Linked DNA regions of Saccharomyces cerevisiae S288C. The gene in region 2 interacts genetically with the main gene of each other region. Each region holds a gene or a part of one and is shown on either strand. Other genes may lie near its edges. The genes, in order: BCK1, PPZ1, SIS2 and CHO2.

Region 1 (6,569 bases), on a different chromosome or scaffold from region 2:
AATTTGCTTTCTGCTGTTGGTTGGTCTTATTTGCTTTACTTGGTCATCTCCTTGTACCCAAAAGTTGGACAGCCAGCATTCTTCTACCAAACTAAAAATGTCGCTACCCTTGTTCAATGTGGTGCTATAATCGAGATCATAAACTCATTTTTAGGAGTTGTACGTTCCCCATTGCTGACCACTGTTGCACAAGTGTCTTCAAGACTACTAGTTGTCCTCGGCATCTTCCAATTGTTGCCAAACACAAGTGGTGTTCAATCAGTTGTTTACATATCATTATTACTGGCATGGTCTATAACTGAGATCGTCAGATACTTGTATTATTTTTTCATGTTGGTATTCAAGAATGGCGCACCAAAGATCTTAATTCTATTAAGATATAATTTGTTCTGGATTTTGTACCCCACTGGTGTTGCCAGCGAACTACGCATTATTTACTGTGCTTTAAATGCAGCTGAATCTCAGTATTCTTTACTTTACAAAAGAATTTTAATAGCGGCCATGCTCGCTTATATCCCAGGCTTCCCAATGCTCTTCCTACACATGGTAGCACAGAGAAAGAAAGTCATGAAAAGTTTAAGATCCTCTTTCGGGAAGAAACTAATTTGAATTCTTTAGATAAATTCTTCTGTATTTTTTATAAGAATATTAGCCTTCACATTGAAATGGCTTCAACGCTCTTAACCATAATCACTAGTATCTTGCGGTGCACGGGCTTTATATTGAGCAAAATTGCGAAGGGTAGCCGAATTAGAGAACTCTTAGAAAGATGTCGAAGCTCACTCGGAGTCGACCTTCACAGCCTACTGAAACAACTGTGCCGAGACAATCTTAAGTGTGTTGCTCTAATTTTCATGCTACAACTGAAATTCATATGGCCAGTGGCCAGAATCACACCTATTTATAGGCCATTTACCAGTCATCCATTCAGAAATTTAGCTACTTCCTCAAGCATCAGTAGTACAAAAGCTAAGACTACTAAGACAGATACAACTCCACTAAAATTATCAAATGAACTATATGCAATATTCAAGATTCATAATCGTCCATATTTGGTGACCGAGGGCGACAGAGTTATTCTTCCATTCAAATTGAAGCAAGCGGAGGTGGGTGACATTTTAAACATGACCGATGTAACAACTTTAGGATCTAGAAACTACAAGCTAGTTGGTCATCCAATCAATACTTCTCTGTATACTTTAAAAGCAACCGTTGTTGGGAAAACTAAAAGGGCTTTCCAAACTAGGGAGGTAACGAAGAGAAGAAATAGACGGGTCCGTCATGCAAAGAGTAAAGGTGATTTGACAATCTTAAGAATATCAGAACTGAGTATGAACTGAATTTTAGGGATATGTACATATACGCATACGTATAAAATCATGTAAATAACAATAAAATTTGACACACTTTCTTCGGCCCCAATGGCCATTCAATTCCAGACCGACGCGTCTTCTAAGTTATAATGCTATGAAATTTCAACAAGTTAATTAAAAGTAAGCATAATAATAAAATCAGGTAATGGATTCACCAAAAAAAAAAATAAAAAAACAAGGGCAGAGGGGTGACCATTAGTACGAAACACTAAATATAGTATTAAAATAGTTCAACTCCACCTCCAAATGCCCTTTTTGAGGAAAATAGCGGGGACAGCACATACACATTCTAGGTCTGATTCGAACTCATCTGTGAAATTCGGCCATCAGCCGACTAGTTCGGTAGCATCAACCAAAAGTTCAAGCAAAAGCCCTCGTGCAACATCTCGCAAAAGCATTTATGATGATATTAGAAGCCAATTTCCCAACCTAACCCCCAACTCTACCTCTTCTCAGTTTTACGAAAGCACGCCAGTTATCGAACAATCCTTTAATTGGACGACAGATGACCACATCTCAGCTGGAACGCTTGAAAACCCAACGAGCTTTACAAACAGTTCTTATAAAAATGACAATGGACCTAGTAGCCTCTCTGATTCGAGGAAATCCTCCGGTGGCAATAGCGTAAATAGTTTGTCCTTTGACAAGCTAATTCTATCGTGGGATCCTACAGACCCTGATGAATGGACAATGCATCGCGTCACCTCATGGTTTAAATTTCATGATTTTCCAGAATCCTGGATATTGTTTTTCAAAAAGCATCAATTGTTTGGTCACAGATTTATAAAGTTGCTTGCATATGATAATTTCGCTGTTTATGAAAAGTATTTGCCGCAGACTAAAACTGCTTCATATACCAGGTTTCAGCAGTTATTGAAAAAAACAATGACCAAGAACGTAACAAATAGCCATATTCGTCAGAAGAGCGCTAGCAAACTTAAAAGTTCCAGGTCTTCCAGCGAATCGATCAAATCAAAATTAAAAAATAGTAAATCGCAAGAGGATATTTCAAATTCTAGATCAACGTCAGAATCTGCATTGAGCCCAACAAAATCGGGCCCTTCCAAGACCGATGAAAAGAATTTTTTACATTCTACTTCAACACACCAAAAAACCAAAAGCGCAAGTTCACTATACAGAAGAAGTTTTATATCCCTAAGAGGCTCATCATCGAGCAATGCTTCCTCAGCAAAATCACCTTCAAACATCAAGTTAAGTATACCGGCTCGGCCGCACTCAATTATTGAATCTAACAGTACACTTACCAAATCGGCGAGCCCACCTGCATCTCCTTCGTATCCTAGCATATTTAGAAGACATCACAAAAGTAGTTCATCTGAGTCGTCATTATTAAATTCCCTTTTTGGTAGTGGAATAGGCGAGGAAGCTCCAACAAAGCCTAATCCACAAGGTCATAGTCTGTCTAGTGAAAATTTAGCTAAAGGAAAATCTAAACACTATGAAACTAATGTGTCTTCACCTTTAAAACAATCTTCACTACCCACTTCGGATGATAAAGGTAATTTATGGAATAAATTCAAAAGAAAGAGCCAAATAGGGGTTCCTAGCCCAAATACGGTAGCTTATGTAACGTCTCAAGAAACTCCATCCTTAAAATCGAATTCGAGTACTGCTACCTTAACCGTACAAACGGCAGATGTAAATATACCATCTCCATCTTCATCACCACCGCCAATACCCAAAACTGCAAACAGAAGTTTGGAGGTCATCAGCACAGAAGATACACCTAAAATTTCTTCAACCACGGCGTCTTTTAAAGAAACGTATCCTGATTGTATTAATCCAGACAAGACAGTTCCAGTGCCGGTAAATAATCAAAAGTATAGTGTAAAGAACTTTTTACTGGACCAAAAATTTTATCCTCTGAAGAAAACAGGGTTAAATGATAGTGAGAATAAATATATTCTGGTTACCAAAGATAATGTTAGTTTTGTTCCGCTAAACTTAAAAAGTGTAGCAAAATTATCCAGTTTCAAAGAATCTGCTCTCACAAAATTGGGAATCAATCACAAAAATGTCACTTTCCATATGACAGACTTTGATTGCGATATTGGTGCTGCAATTCCAGATGATACTTTGGAATTTTTGAAAAAAAGCTTGTTTTTGAACACTTCTGGAAAAATTTATATCAAAGACCAAATGAAGCTTCAACAAAAACCGAAACCTGCTCCTCTCACCTCAGAAAACAATGTTCCTTTAAAATCGGTGAAAAGTAAGAGTTCAATGAGGTCCGGAACAAGCAGTCTGATAGCATCGACAGATGATGTTTCCATTGTCACTTCGTCTTCTGACATAACATCATTTGATGAACATGCATCAGGAAGTGGGCGCAGGTACCCCCAAACCCCGAGTTATTACTATGACAGAGTTTCCAATACTAATCCAACTGAAGAATTGAATTATTGGAATATTAAAGAAGTTCTTTCTCATGAGGAAAATGCACCAAAAATGGTTTTTAAAACAAGTCCAAAATTAGAACTCAACCTACCAGATAAAGGAAGTAAATTAAATATTCCTACCCCCATAACAGAAAATGAAAGCAAGAGTAGTTTTCAAGTGCTAAGAAAAGATGAGGGGACTGAAATTGATTTCAATCATCGTAGGGAATCGCCTTATACAAAACCAGAACTGGCACCAAAAAGAGAAGCTCCCAAGCCTCCCGCAAATACTTCTCCTCAGAGGACCTTATCAACTTCTAAACAGAATAAACCGATCCGCCTAGTGAGGGCAAGTACAAAAATTTCGAGAAGCAAAAGATCGAAACCATTGCCGCCACAATTATTATCATCTCCTATAGAAGCTAGCAGCTCGTCTCCTGATTCGCTTACTTCCTCATATACTCCTGCTTCGACTCATGTTTTGATACCGCAACCTTATAAGGGTGCAAACGATGTTATGCGTAGGTTGAAAACAGACCAGGACTCGACGAGTACTTCCCCATCTTTGAAAATGAAACAGAAAGTGAATCGCTCAAATTCAACTGTATCGACTTCAAATTCAATTTTCTATTCTCCTTCACCATTGTTAAAAAGAGGTAACTCAAAAAGAGTTGTTTCGTCGACATCTGCGGCCGATATATTTGAAGAGAATGACATAACATTCGCGGATGCTCCGCCGATGTTTGACAGCGATGATAGTGATGACGATTCTAGTTCATCCGATGACATTATCTGGTCCAAGAAAAAAACAGCTCCTGAGACTAATAATGAAAACAAAAAGGATGAGAAAAGCGATAACAGTTCTACGCATTCTGACGAAATATTCTATGATTCTCAAACGCAGGACAAAATGGAGAGAAAGATGACCTTTAGACCATCTCCGGAGGTCGTTTATCAAAATTTAGAGAAATTCTTCCCAAGGGCTAACTTAGATAAGCCAATCACTGAAGGAATAGCTTCACCAACATCTCCGAAATCCTTAGACAGCCTACTTTCACCAAAGAATGTGGCTTCATCGAGAACTGAGCCAAGCACTCCTTCCCGTCCCGTCCCTCCTGATAGCTCATACGAGTTCATACAGGATGGACTTAACGGTAAAAATAAACCATTGAATCAAGCTAAGACACCTAAAAGAACAAAAACCATAAGAACCATTGCACATGAAGCTAGTTTAGCAAGAAAAAACTCTGTAAAACTAAAAAGACAGAACACCAAAATGTGGGGTACAAGAATGGTCGAAGTGACCGAAAACCATATGGTGTCAATTAATAAAGCCAAAAATTCGAAAGGTGAGTATAAGGAATTCGCCTGGATGAAGGGTGAAATGATAGGGAAGGGATCTTTCGGTGCTGTTTATTTATGTTTAAACGTTACTACAGGTGAGATGATGGCCGTTAAGCAGGTTGAGGTCCCCAAGTATAGCTCACAAAATGAAGCCATTCTAAGTACCGTGGAAGCATTAAGATCTGAAGTGTCCACGTTAAAAGATTTAGATCATCTTAATATTGTTCAATACTTAGGTTTTGAGAATAAAAACAATATTTACAGTTTGTTTTTAGAATATGTTGCTGGTGGCTCCGTGGGATCCTTGATTAGAATGTATGGAAGATTCGATGAACCGTTGATCAAACATTTAACAACACAAGTATTAAAAGGATTGGCATACCTACACTCGAAAGGTATTCTCCACAGGGATATGAAGGCAGACAACTTACTTTTGGATCAAGATGGTATCTGCAAAATCAGTGACTTCGGAATTTCAAGAAAATCAAAGGACATATACTCTAATTCGGATATGACCATGCGAGGAACAGTCTTCTGGATGGCTCCTGAAATGGTTGATACAAAGCAAGGCTACAGTGCAAAAGTTGATATATGGTCTCTGGGATGCATCGTTCTGGAAATGTTTGCTGGTAAGCGCCCGTGGTCCAACTTAGAAGTCGTCGCAGCCATGTTCAAAATTGGAAAGTCAAAATCGGCACCACCAATTCCTGAGGACACTTTACCATTGATATCGCAAATCGGACGAAATTTTCTGGACGCATGCTTCGAGATAAATCCAGAGAAAAGGCCAACCGCTAACGAGCTTCTTTCTCATCCTTTTAGTGAAGTAAATGAAACATTCAATTTCAAATCTACCAGACTCGCGAAGTTTATAAAGTCAAATGATAAGTTAAACTCTTCAAAATTAAGGATAACCTCTCAGGAGAATAAAACTGAATAGCTATTAGGATCGATCTATACTTAAGATATTTATGCATACGTAATAATATAGAACAATAAACATAGATGACGGAATGACGGAATGACTGAAAATTAAGAACAAAGAAAATTAAAAAATTTCTGCTGATACTTATTCAGACGAAAAATGGTGCACAATAAGGGTGTCAAAACGACGATTCGACCCTTCAAATATTACAGTCCTCACCTCTTCGCTGAAGGGCTCACTTTCATCAGGAAGGTCCTCTCCAATAATAAAGGTAGTCTCCTCTATATCAGCTAAAGCAGTATCTGATAAACCAACATCAAGCACAGTCTCTATAAAGGACGGCTTTTCAATTGCTTCTTCTGGAACTTTCGTTTCAAAGGGGATATCCACAATTTTAATGGTAGATTCGTTTAGCCAGTCATGCTCAGCAAATGCAGTTGACAAATCTTTTGCGAAATCAATATTCTTGCTGTTAATAAATATACTACAGGATGCATTATCATTATTATAGCCATCTCTATAGCATAT
Region 2 (4,196 bases):
TTTTTTTTTTAAAAAAAATTCGTCTTTCTGATTAATCAATTTTGATTATATATTTTCTCTTGATTAGTTCACAATTTTTATAGGCCCTTATTTCTTAAAGAAGTTTTATGAAGTTTCGTAAGTATTGGGGGGGTTGAAAATAATCTCTCACGTTATACGCAATAAAAAATTAAAATTAAGGAGAACCAATCTATAGAAACGAACCATTGAATTTAGCTATATGACTATATACCATTACGTAATTTATATAAACAGCTTAATATAGCGAAAGCAAAGTAGAACGAAATTTCGGAGAGTTCTAGATTGTATAGAGCGAATGAGCATTCAATACACACGCGAAGGCAGTAGGCGATGAAAGGAAGTTTTTTAATGTCATTAAGAAAAAGATAGGGAACTTCTATTTCCTGTCTTTCATATATATATATATATATATATATATATATATGTGCATATGTACATCGTTGAGTTGTTCATGAAATAATGAATATAATACTTCTGGATTTTTTAGTCAGTAAATTTACTGTTGAGATTCGTTATCATTTGTGATGCTTGTTTCCATCATTTGCTGTTGTTGATTAGCCAGTTTTCTTTCCTGTCTACCTTTCTTCATAACTTGCTTCAAAGCTGCACTATCTAGTGGATCTAACAATTCAAAAGAGCACAATAAACCTTCGCTGACGCTCATTACAGCCCCCCAATTATCAAATTCACCACAATAATTTGGCGCGGAAAACACCGTAACGAGACTTCTATCATTGAAAAATTCATAACCGTCTTCCACAACCATGTGAGCTCTACAAACCAAATCAAACCCAAACTTGTTCAAGAATTTGTTAATTGCCACCTTATTATAACAGTAACTTACACCACGTTCGTTATCCTCCCATTCGTTGGGTGAATCTGTGGGATCGGACCACAAAAGATCATTAATTAAGCCAAAATCTGGTACATCAGTAGGCCTAACTACATGTCTGATTTCATCCATAGAATTTAAAACTGGCGACAATCCACCATGAACACAAAAAATCTTTCCGGCTACGATAGCAGCTAATGGTAATGTATTAAAAGTATCGATGAATGTCTTCCAGATCTTGATGTTACAACGACGTTTACATTCATCATAAAATCCATAAACCCTTGTGACGTTAGCACATTCATGGTTGCCTCTCAATAAAAAGAAATTTTCAGGGTATTTTATTTTGTAACAAAACAATAGTAAAATAGTCTCCAGTGACTGTTTACCACGGTCCACATAATCACCTAGGAATAAATAGTTCGAGGATGGTGGGAACCCACATTTGGTAAAAAGCCTTAAGAGATCCCCATATTGGCCATGAACGTCGCCTACAATTTTTACAGGAGGTGATAATTCTAATAAGGAAGGTTGAGAAAGAAAGATTTCACGAGCCTTGATGCAAATCTGTAAAATTTCATTGTTCTTCAAACAAACATTTTTTGTTCTCTTAGCAGCGTAGCCCGCATCCAGTAATTTTTGGATAGTTTCATCAATATCGATAGGCTTTTTGAATTTTTTTGGAGCGTTTTTGTTTCCGGAAGATTGCATTATATCATTAAATTCCTCATTCGGATCTTTTTTGCTATCTGTTATATTATTATTTTTATCATTAACATTTTCCATTGATGCATGGATATTACTCAATTGAGATGAATTTTCAATGTCATCATCATTGCTGATGTGTTTGCTCGGGTAAATATCGCGACTTGAATGGTGATTCAATGAGGAGGTTGAATTAGAGGTAAAGTATTCACCAGAGTGATCTGTTAGCTTGGACAAGCCTGGAGAGTTTAATGGGGTGCTGTATGCGGTATTACCATCTGATCCAAACGAAGATTTCCTACTGTGTAGCGAAGATGCATGAGAATTTGACCGGGTTAATGCCTGAACGAGATAATTCTCCTGATTGTTAGAGGAGTATGATCCATTGTTAGGCTCTTCATGGGTCACATCTGATTTCCTTCTTGACACTGATCCGCTTCTTATACTGGACGGACGAGAATTCGAAGATCTAGAAAACCTTTTAGTGTGCGAGATGTCGTTGTCTTTATCATCATTGTCATCATCGGTTAAGGCGTTCTCATAATAGGTAGATGAGTATGAAGATTTATGCTTGGATACGTGTGTGCTACTATTGTTTGTTTTTAAAATGGGTGACTTGGGTTCCATTTGGATCATTGAAGGTGGTAAATCAGCAGCAGCCTTAGTATTATAACTTGATCTTCTAGAAGTAGAAGGCCTCTTAGTAGAGGATGATGAAGGAGTAGTTAACAATTCGTTTTGAGAATTTGAATGCGAGTGTGAGCTAGATGGGAAATGGTAACGATTCGTGTGAGAGCTATGTCGTTGGTGATTAACCTCAAGATTGGGCTTTGATGGAGTGGAGGGATCAGGGACGTTTGAATTAGTATTCGTAGTGGACGAAGAAGGAAGAGATCGCCTTGATCTTGAAGATTTATTTGATTTTGCAGACTTCACAGAATGGGAAGTCTCGGTTCTCGACACTTGAGGACGAGGATTTCTCGAGGAGGAATTCGAATGTGAATCCTTTTTCGAAGATTTTGAACTTGAATTACCCATTTTGAAAAGGAAGGAAAGATAAGCAGAGAGTGGTTGATTTGTTGTTTTATGACAAAGCCTCTAGGGGAAAAGAAGCGACTATAACGATGAAATAAAAATAAAACGATAAAGAAAAGTATAATCAAATGTATTCCAAAGAAGTACTTTTATATATAATCTTTATATTTAACTTGAAAGAAAAAGATTTAACATGTATTGCCAAAACAAACAAAACTAATAATGGAAGCTATTGTATTGTGCTTTTATGTTACCCACCTGCCAATGGTTCACAAGAGAAAGCTGATTAACAGAATTAGAAGATCTGCAGTAATCGTTTTCTTTTTTTTTTTTTCATTAATTTATATGCTATCCTTTTAAAAATAGACATGTCATTTCAAACGACATGTTAAAAATTATATATATGTTTATATATAGATTGATATATGTTGGAGCCGTTGGACAATTATGGGCAGCTATCTGAACATGGATCCCTGCCCTTCTCCTTGAGTTCTCCAGTAAGCGTTAGGCAAAGTGTCCGACTGCAGACGGTAGAGTCTCCACGCCTCACGGATGTGTTCGGGCAATAAGGGACTGTTGTTATATTTCTCGATGCTTACATCTAGTTTGTTGAATTGGAGGACGAGCTTATTGTACTGCTCGATGAGTTGTAGCTTCAAGTCCTGTGAATTATGGTCTGATTGCTGTAAGGATTTGGACTGTAGCAACGAGTTGCCCAGCGTAGTTTCGCGCTTGTCTACTTCTTCATCGTCGAAGTAGAAATCAGGTTCGTCTTCGGGAACGCTATCGGATTGATAATCTTGCTTGTATTGCTGGTTTTCTATGATGGAGAAAGTCAATTTTTTTAGATATTTTTTCAATTTATAGCCTATTTTGGTCCTCTTATCAAACTCTATGCACATTTGACTTGTCAACCACTTATTCTTCACAATCATGGCCAATTCGATTATCTCACCAGCGTATATTTTTCCCACCGCTTGCAGAAAAACACGAATATTTTCACTTATAGTTTGATTAGCTACTGTGCTAGCCAGTTTTTTGACCTGGGTTTTGTTTAGGGATGTTCTATGGAAAACTTCAAACCGATTAGTTTGATCTTTATCCAAGTTGGTTACCAAGAGCTTGAATTGTTCGTCCTGCGCAAGTTTTTCATTTTCATCTTCGTTGGTATTGGTGTCTTCGTAATTGCTATTTTGTGTTTGCTGTTGTAAAATGTCTTGTGGAAAGATCAGGTTTTCTGGGACTTTGTTGATAGAGTCCGGGTCTTGCTGATTTATCCTGGTTTTCTGGTATTTGTATTTTGGATATTTATTTAATTGGTTGTTGATTGATGTACCACCCGTTCGCAGGTTTTGCAATTTCCACGTAACGTAGTCCTGGTCCTCACTGATGACTTGGTCAATCATTTGTTTTGTGGAAAAATAGTTTGCTATTGTCAGTATTGGCGGATAGTTCACTTTCGGGATGGTGTCCAAAGGACCTTGAGGTTCGGTCATCGTTGCGCTGTTGAAGCTCAAACTTACTTTGTGCTCTTCATTTATATGGATAATTATCTCTATATACCTCTTCTTGATTTTTCAATTTCTTTCAACTTTTCAGTCGA
Region 3 (3,760 bases), on a different chromosome or scaffold from region 2:
GTAATCCTCTTTGTTGAAAAGCGAAATTTCGGTTTCATTCTCAATGCCATACTCGAACAGCTTTTTTTTGTCATTCTCTATGTCTAAAGTCCAGTCGTCATCGTGGTCAAAATTGATCACGAGATTAACCGTCTTGGAACCATGTGCGTGCGTGTATATCTTTAAAGTATCAAACTTAACATTACGGAATGGTCTGAATGAACCTTCATTTTGAATTTTGTTCAAAACGTCATTGAACAGGTCCTTTGCAGTTTTATCAGCAAGATCGTAATCGTGCAGCACTATGTTCTTGACGTTTCTATATGGGAAAGATTTTATTACTCGGATTGTAATAACGGAGTTCTTTAGTGGTCTGGCATTTGAGGTTAATGGCTCTTCCAAGTCATAATCATGAAAGGTTGTTGACATTTTCAGCCTTTTAGTTGAATTCATGAAATAATGCAACCAAACAAGAAAAAATTTGGGGGAGGTAGTCTACGCATTTCAGTTCTAACTTCCTTCCTTTTCTTTCACTATTAATTGAAACTTATTTTCATTTTTTTTCTTTAGCATTGAACGCCGAATCTAAAAAAGTAAAGAACTCCTCATAGGGGGCTCGAACCCCTGACATTTCGGTATCCTTGCTTAAGCAAATGCGCTTAAAAGCCGAACGCTCTACCAACTGAGCTAACAAGGATGAGTTCTTCGGAGGGCTAACTCATATAAATAACTAATAAAGGCGAAATAGTGGTCACCACCATCACACTACACCCATATCAACGACAAGAGTTTAATTTGACCGTGGAAATTTATTACTGCTGATTTGGGTTCTATGATAAATCCTCGTAACGTAGAGACTATGTTTTTATATGCGCATTAAGTGCCGGAAAACGTGAGAAATAGGCTTTCCGGAGCATCAAACCTGAGGTTTCATAAATTGTGTTCGTGAAGGATGCATTCCAGAGGGCCATCCATCCAGCATAAAAAGAGATCTACAAAGCAATTATGTGGTTTCGCCATTATCCGTAGGATGACCTAAAAAATGGTAATGATTCACGTGATCTAGAAACTTTAACGTGTTATATCATTCAAGGCGTAACTTATACGCGCGGGGTACCCTATCATATCTAACACACGTACCCTGGGTTAATGCCATGATCGTCTTTGATGTATCTCTAATGATCATTATTATTTTTTCTTTTGCTTTTAACATGAGTCAAAGCAATATTCTTATGTTATATAACTCACCCCATGTGCTCGTGGGCAGTGACGCACGCAACTTTTTCTCTTGCAAAAAATGGCATCGATGCTTTTCTGGGGAGGTGATATTAGAGGAGAAGAAGTCACAGAGTGCTCTTGGATCACGATCCCTCACTTGTACTTGTCCACTTATCAGCGCCGTCCAGTTACATTTGGAGAGATCTTTTTTTAGCCTGGCCTTCTTTGCTGTCATACTACTTTATATTCCGGGATAAAATATAAAGAAATATTAGTTAGGAAAAAATTAATAGGGAAGAAAGATCTAGAAGCAAACAGCAATGACTGCCGTCGCCTCTACTAGCGGGAAGCAAGATGCTGACCATAACCAGTCTATAGAGTGTCCAAGGTTTTCGCGTGGACAGAAAGAGATTTTGTTGGACCATGAGGATGCGAAGGGGAAGGATTCAATAATCAACTCCCCCGTGTCAGGGAGGCAATCAATAAGCCCTACTTTGTCGAATGCTACTACCACGACTACGAAATCTATTATGAATGCCACCGGCACCTCCGGCGCAGTAGTAAGTAATACTCCGGAGCCTGGTTTGAAGAGAGTCCCCGCCGTCACTTTCAGTGATCTAAAGCAACAGCAAAAGCAGGATAGTCTGACTCAGCTGAAGAACGACTCAGAAAGGACCAAGTCTCCAAATAGTAATCCTGCTCCTGTCTCAAATTCCATTCCTGGCAATCATGCAGTTATACCGAACCACACCAACACTTCAAGAACAACGCAATTATCTGGGTCTCCACTCGTCAACGAAATGAAAGATTATGATCCTAAGAAAAAAGACAGTGCTCTTAAAATAGTTGATACCATGAAGCCTGACAAAATCATGGCCACTTCAACGCCAATAAGTAGAGAAAATAATAAGGTAACCGCCAAAGCCCCCACCAGTATTACACTTCGAAAGGAAGATGCACAAGATCAAGCTAACAATGTTTCAGGCCAAATTAATGTGCGTTCTACCCCGGAAGAAACGCCAGTGAAGCAGTCCGTCATTCCTTCCATCATCCCCAAAAGAGAGAACTCCAAGAATTTGGATCCCAGACTACCTCAAGATGATGGAAAATTGCACGTGTTGTTTGGCGCTACAGGTTCGTTATCGGTATTTAAGATCAAGCCAATGATTAAAAAACTAGAAGAAATATATGGACGTGATAGAATAAGCATTCAAGTTATCCTCACTCAATCAGCAACACAGTTTTTCGAACAAAGATATACCAAGAAAATTATCAAATCTTCAGAAAAACTAAATAAAATGTCGCAGTACGAATCCACTCCGGCAACTCCAGTGACACCAACACCAGGACAATGCAACATGGCTCAAGTAGTCGAGTTACCCCCACATATTCAACTATGGACCGACCAAGATGAATGGGACGCATGGAAACAACGAACTGATCCTGTACTTCATATAGAACTACGTCGCTGGGCGGATATACTGGTAGTAGCTCCATTAACTGCAAACACATTATCAAAAATTGCTTTGGGCCTGTGCGACAATCTTCTGACAAGTGTCATTAGAGCTTGGAATCCGAGTTATCCCATTCTTTTGGCACCTTCTATGGTGAGTAGCACTTTTAATTCTATGATGACAAAGAAGCAACTACAAACGATAAAGGAGGAAATGTCCTGGGTCACTGTTTTCAAGCCGTCTGAGAAAGTTATGGATATAAATGGTGATATTGGTCTCGGGGGTATGATGGACTGGAATGAGATTGTTAACAAAATCGTTATGAAATTGGGTGGGTACCCAAAAAATAACGAGGAAGAGGACGATGATGAGGATGAGGAAGAAGACGACGACGAAGAAGAAGATACAGAAGATAAGAACGAAAACAACAACGATGATGATGACGATGACGACGATGACGACGACGACGACGACGACGACGACGACGACGACGACGATGATGACGAGGACGAGGACGAAGCAGAAACCCCAGGTATAATAGATAAGCATCAATAAATAGTCTATGAATTACAAATACACTAAACACATTCTACTTATTTGTGTTTTGTAATTTCTGGAAAAATACTCATTAGGCAAATTCACGCAGCATATTTACAAAATGTCACAAATTTTTTTCCTTTTTTACTTGCAGTAGGTATGTAATGCCATACTAGCGTACATAGAGCTCTTCATATAAACCGCTATTTATTACTAATTTTAATAATTCAGTAATTCATTAAATACATTCATTACTTTCTGGGTAAATATCTATTCGTTTCTCATTTTTCTTTTTTTGACATATCCCGGTACCGGAATAAGTCCGATACTATTCAAAAGCTTCTGGAAAAAAAAAATAAAAAAAAGAAATGATTAGTAATCATTTAATTTCATGACATATTAAAAAGGTATTCTAAGCAGAAGTCTTTCATCACATTTGATCTAAGCATATACACTGTAAGTGAAGGTATCGATGTCACAATACAAAACTGGTTTACTTTTAATACATCCGGCGGTGACTACAACGCCAGAGCTAGTAGAGAACACTAAGGCTCAAGCTGCATCAAAGAAAG
Region 4 (4,731 bases), on a different chromosome or scaffold from region 2:
TTTATTTAACGTATGATAAGGATCTTACAAATAATCCTCAGGACGACGATTCGCAAAGCAAAATGATGTCTTCTCAAATATCATCTCTCATACCACATTGTATCACTAGTATAACGCTAGCCTTAGCTGATGCCGGCATCGAATTAGTGGATATGGCAGGTGCCGGTGAGGCCAATGGCACTGTCGTATCATTCATCAAAAATGGAGAGGAAATTGTAGGTTTTTGGAAGGATGATGGTGACGATGAAGATCTTTTGGAATGCCTTGATCGTTGCAAGGAGCAATATAACCGTTATAGAGATTTAATGATAAGCTGTTTAATGAACCAGGAAACTTAGACACGAGATTATCCTAGTCGGAAAGAAAAGTGAAAGAGGTTAAGAAAAAATTCATGGTAAAAGAAGCGCACAAAGGCATTGTACATCAACATCATAATTTATAATGTCATTCTGCATATATGGTAGCTCCATTATATTACAACAACATAACTACTTCTATTCAAAATGTTAACTTGAATCCTAGTACTTTTTAAATATATATACTCAAAAAAAAAAAACTCAAGCAAGACTATCAAGCGTTTGTTTTATATCCCAAGCGCGATGCGAAATAACGTGAGCGTCACCATTGACTCTCCTCATATACTCAGACGAAAGTTCGACGCCAATTGAGTTCTTAATCAATTGTTTCAAGCTGTCCATCCCGAAGAACTTATTTCCTAATGGACGAAATTTACCATCCTTCAAAACGTTGACTTTCGTCAAAAACTCAGTCAAATCCTTCTCAAACAGTTCAGGTGTCGTGGTATTTAGTACCGGCAATGAAATTTCAAATGGTGTAGAAATCAATAACACCTTATGGGAGTTACCAGAATGATACCTAAATTCGTAGATACCATTTTCAAAATAAAGCAAAGACGTGTCGAATGTCACTTTACCTTGAACGTACTTTTCAGTCGCCTTTATTTCTGTTACAGATTCTTTATGTCTTAATCCATGGTTCATATATGAATCTTTAGAAGTCGCACTCCAATGACCACCTGATCCAACTCTTGTTTTTTCACGATCTGCCCTTGTATCAATGACTTTATACAAACCAATCCAATCATCTCCGTTATAAAGTTCAATGGGCATTTTCCAATTCAAAGTTACTGGAGTAGGCAAGACAAAATTGGTTTCTACCTGCTCGTTTTCAATTTTCAATTCACAGTATGGACTCAATCTTGTTGCAACGCTATCCATTGCTTCCTGAATTAAAATATTCCATTCTTTGTTATCTTGATAATTTTTGGGCAAAAGTTCTGCCCCACCATTGGAGTTCTTGCTTTCATCAACTAATGATTTGATTATAATATTTTCAATTCTATTGACAATATCTGAAACTTGTCTTAGAGGTTTCAAGCCTAGTAAAGTTTTTCCAACACCACTAACTCGTTTAGTTTTACCATATATCTTATTAACATGAGGTGTTTCAATAAACTTGACAAGAATAAAATTTGTCAATGTCCATAAAACAGCCAAGATAATATTTGTAACGGCAAAATTCGTCATCAATACAGTACCCCAAACTCCAACAACGCCTAATACCGCTTCTGGGTGATTCAAATATCTGTAGATACCTTGGGAAGTCAGCTTTCTAGTTGAGATATAGTTGCTCAAGAAAAAATCACCATAAAACCAACCAAAATCAGAGATTGCTAGTCTCGTTTCCTTATCACACCATGTTTGTAAAGCCACAAGAATTAAACCAAAAATTAATTGACTGTTGTTTATGTTGGAAAAATTACTCCAAATTTGAAGCCCTGTATGAATTATCATAAGTGTGTAGGTTAATACCAAATAATAATTGTAAATAAATTGCCATTGCTCATAGGAATAAACTTGTGTGTAACCATTCTCCAAAAACAATCTCGTGAACCATTTAGACTGAGATTGCTTGTACAATATTGTCGAGATAAATAACCATGAAACCAGTTTTGTTACAAAAACGGTAATAAAGAGGTAATTTAAATTGATAAACCTAGCATTCATGATTGTTCCTAACATAAGTGCCGCTACGGTACCAATTGTGAAATAGTCAGTAAATCTTAGCTTATTGAAGTTGTTAAAAGAAAGACCCATGTTAATTAGAGGTCTTGAATAATCGTAATTCTCTTTTGATATCAAGTCATCAATTCTGCTATTCATTTGAGAATCGGAATCAGTGCCATCACCATACGTTCTTTCAATATGAGGATTTTCGACGTATTTCAGAAACAAAAATTGAGAATAATGTCCAAATACGGACACCAGAAGAACCTTGTAGTCATTACAAATCAATGATAGGCCATAATAACCCAAATAACCAATAGAATACATTGGATGTGGAGAGATGTTGAAGACACCATCAAAAATCAATTCAGATTCTTCCAAAAAGAAGAAATCACCCCAGTACCAAGCATAATCTTTAACCACGCGATGCGCATCTAACTTGACCCAGATGTTAAATAAAATCAAAATAACACCTAGCAAAGATCTCCAGTTGAAGATTTGAACCCAGCTATATGGAATAGAAAGGTAAACGTAAATAATGTAAGTCACAAAATCTTGCATCAAGATTAAATCGACAAACTGGCGAAATATCAACCAGACGTTGATCTCTTCTGGATAGGCAAATAAATCATACTCCTTTGGCATTTTAGACCTAATCTCATATTGACAGAACTTCCTAATAAAATTCCAAAATTTTTCTGAAAAGGAATTGGAATTTGTTGAGAAATTCGAATTAGCATCTTTATTCTGTGGTATTTTGCTGAAAATCGCATGAGTTTTAGCACAATTCGTTAGTGTTTCATAATGTGACTGGTAATGCAGAACCAGTCCAATACCTAAATTATAAGCAATTCTCCAAAATAAATACTGTACCAGAAAAAAGTATTTGGTAAACTGTAAGCCAAACCTTTGGAAGACCCAATAACAAATGAAAAAATTCGATATAATAGCTAGCGCGATGCATTTTTCCAGCAGAGATTTCTTCAAAGTTGGATCGAAAAGCGAACGCACCATATCGTGGGTTACAGGTGGTTTGAAAGTTACATTACTCGAACGTGTTCTGGCTTCGACGTTGATAGTGCCCCTATCTTTTGTCACAGAACCAACCATTTCAGACAAAGTGGTTTTACAACTGGACATCTACAGATGAAGAAAAAGCTTTGTCACTAAGAAAATCACTCGAAATATTCAGGGCGGAATTTTTTTTTTCAAAATAGCCTTGATAGGTTACTTTTACCTTTCTTGTTAATGAAATCCTGGATTGTTAGGTTGAACTAACGTATAAAATTAGGGGATAAAATGAAGAAAAGAAGATAAACTAATCAAAGAGGCAAAAAAAAAGGTCCTTTGAATCAAACTCTACTATATTAGTTATATTTTGAAGATTTGGTGTGAACTCTTCACATGAGAAGGGAATAAAAGGGAACACAGTGGAAAGAATCTGTATTTTCATATGCCTACTTATAAATTCACATGTGTCGGAGATCCACGTTATCTAACATTTGAGGTTTTGCCGTTTCTGGCATCGCCGTTCATTTTCACAGTTTTGTGTGGAAAACTTCGCGAATAATGAATGCGGCATGAGAAAAGTGTGGCAATTGACTGTCTTGACCAATTTAAACCAAGGCAAAAATATATATTTAACAAGGCAAACATTTAATGTTGGAAGTTTAGTGCCGCTTTTAGTGATAAGAGGTACAGATGCAAGAACCATCTAATTAGGTGTGGTTTTCTGATACGCTATGGCTCTGATTACTTAGATTATATATTCTTTTCTAAAGTTTTCCACCATAAGTTGCTGGTCACTTGGTAAACTTTGGATCTGGGCAGGTGTCAAAGTAAGAACTTGTTTGATCATATCTTGTTGGTTTTCAGGTAGTAATTGCAGTTTCGCCATATTAATGGTGCCGCTGTCATTCGCTTTATTCGCGTTAGAGGGTCCTTCTGTAGAACTTATATTTTGTTGCTGGACCTGGCCGAGTTGATTTGCCAACACAGGCTGTCCCATGGAGGGGCCTTGAGCTGGAGGCATGAAAGGGCCCGGTGGCGCAAAACCGAACGGTTGTTGTTGCAGAGGTAAAGGGATAAATGGTGGTGTCGACATAGGCATTGGCATAGCTACGTTCAGTGGCATATTGTTAGGATTGTTGCTGACTTCATTAGAAGGTACATGCAACGGAGTGTTATTTCTAATTACGCTTACGGGGGTGTTCGAATTACTTGTGTTATTACTCGAAAGCAAAGATGGGGCCTCGCCAACTTGGGATTTCAACACTTTAGTCACCACGCTGTAGTCTATAAATCCCATTTCTAGTAGGGCTTGGGTCACTGATATTGTGATATCACTGTTAGTATCTAAGAAAGATTCTAATTGCGATTTTTGGATGTTTTCTTGGTTTGATAATATTTTCAAATTTGATATAATTTCAATAAGTTGCAACGGCGGAATTTTACTTAAATTTTGTGAAATTTTGTCTGGTGCAATAATCGAGCCATCTTGGAAACTTGGCAAGTGTTTAGATGCTTTACTTAGTATGTCGGGGAATTGAATGTTTGTGTTATTTGATACAGAGTTTGTGTTATTTGCAGCCTGTGGTGGCGGTGGTCGCCTAGGAATGGGGACTTCTGTCACCATTTCGAAAGGTAGCTCCAAACCCGCCTCGAAGGGGTACGAATCTCTATTAAGTTGTAATACCTGCTTTTG

What was found.
Region 1: mutations in PPZ1 (region 2) and BCK1 together harm fitness more than expected from each alone (negative genetic interaction), as found in Saccharomyces cerevisiae (4 studies listed by BioGRID).
Region 3: of PPZ1 (region 2) and SIS2, extra expression of one rescues a mutant of the other (dosage rescue), as found in Saccharomyces cerevisiae (7 studies listed by BioGRID, with this or other methods).
Region 4: mutations in PPZ1 (region 2) and CHO2 together harm fitness more than expected from each alone (negative genetic interaction), as found in Saccharomyces cerevisiae (4 studies listed by BioGRID, with this or other methods).

The regions. Positions count from the first base shown.
Region 1 is NC_001142.9:245,636-252,204, forward strand, and holds BCK1 (mitogen-activated protein kinase kinase kinase BCK1), read left to right. Parts: upstream 1-1,619; coding exon 1,620-6,056; downstream 6,057-6,569. Other genes in the region: enoyl-CoA hydratase PHS1, read left to right, coding at 1-609; mitochondrial 54S ribosomal protein bL21m MRPL49, read left to right, coding at 855-1,340; KHA1 (Kha1p), read right to left, coding at 6,186-6,569. UniProt on the Saccharomyces cerevisiae protein: Serine/threonine protein kinase involved in a signal transduction pathway that plays a role in yeast cell morphogenesis and cell growth. This pathway seems to start by SMP3; then involve the kinase PKC1 that may act on this kinase.
Region 2 is NC_001145.3:238,941-243,136, forward strand, and holds PPZ1 (salt homeostasis regulator), read right to left. Parts: upstream 2,597-4,196; coding exon 518-2,596; downstream 1-517. Other genes in the region: TATA-binding protein-associated factor TAF11, read right to left, coding at 3,049-4,089. UniProt on the Saccharomyces cerevisiae protein: Essential for the maintenance of cell size and integrity in response to osmotic stress.
Region 3 is NC_001143.9:575,881-579,640, reverse strand, and holds SIS2 (phosphopantothenoylcysteine decarboxylase complex subunit SIS2), read left to right. Parts: upstream 1-1,517; coding exon 1,518-3,206; downstream 3,207-3,760. Other genes in the region: AIM29 (Aim29p), read right to left, coding at 1-432; YKR073C (uncharacterized protein), read left to right, coding at 1,134-1,454; electron carrier DRE2, read left to right, coding at 3,661-3,760. UniProt on the Saccharomyces cerevisiae protein: Component of the phosphopantothenoylcysteine decarboxylase (PPCDC) involved in the coenzyme A synthesis. Acts as an inhibitory subunit of protein phosphatase PPZ1, which is involved in many cellular processes such as G1-S transition or salt tolerance.
Region 4 is NC_001139.9:800,876-805,606, reverse strand, and holds CHO2 (phosphatidylethanolamine N-methyltransferase), read right to left. Parts: upstream 3,168-4,731; coding exon 558-3,167; downstream 1-557. Other genes in the region: exosome non-catalytic core subunit MTR3, read left to right, coding at 1-338; cleavage polyadenylation factor subunit PTI1, read right to left, coding at 3,784-4,731. UniProt on the Saccharomyces cerevisiae protein: Catalyzes the first step of the methylation pathway of phosphatidylcholine biosynthesis, the SAM-dependent methylation of phosphatidylethanolamine (PE) to phosphatidylmonomethylethanolamine (PMME). Preferentially converts di-C16:1 substrates.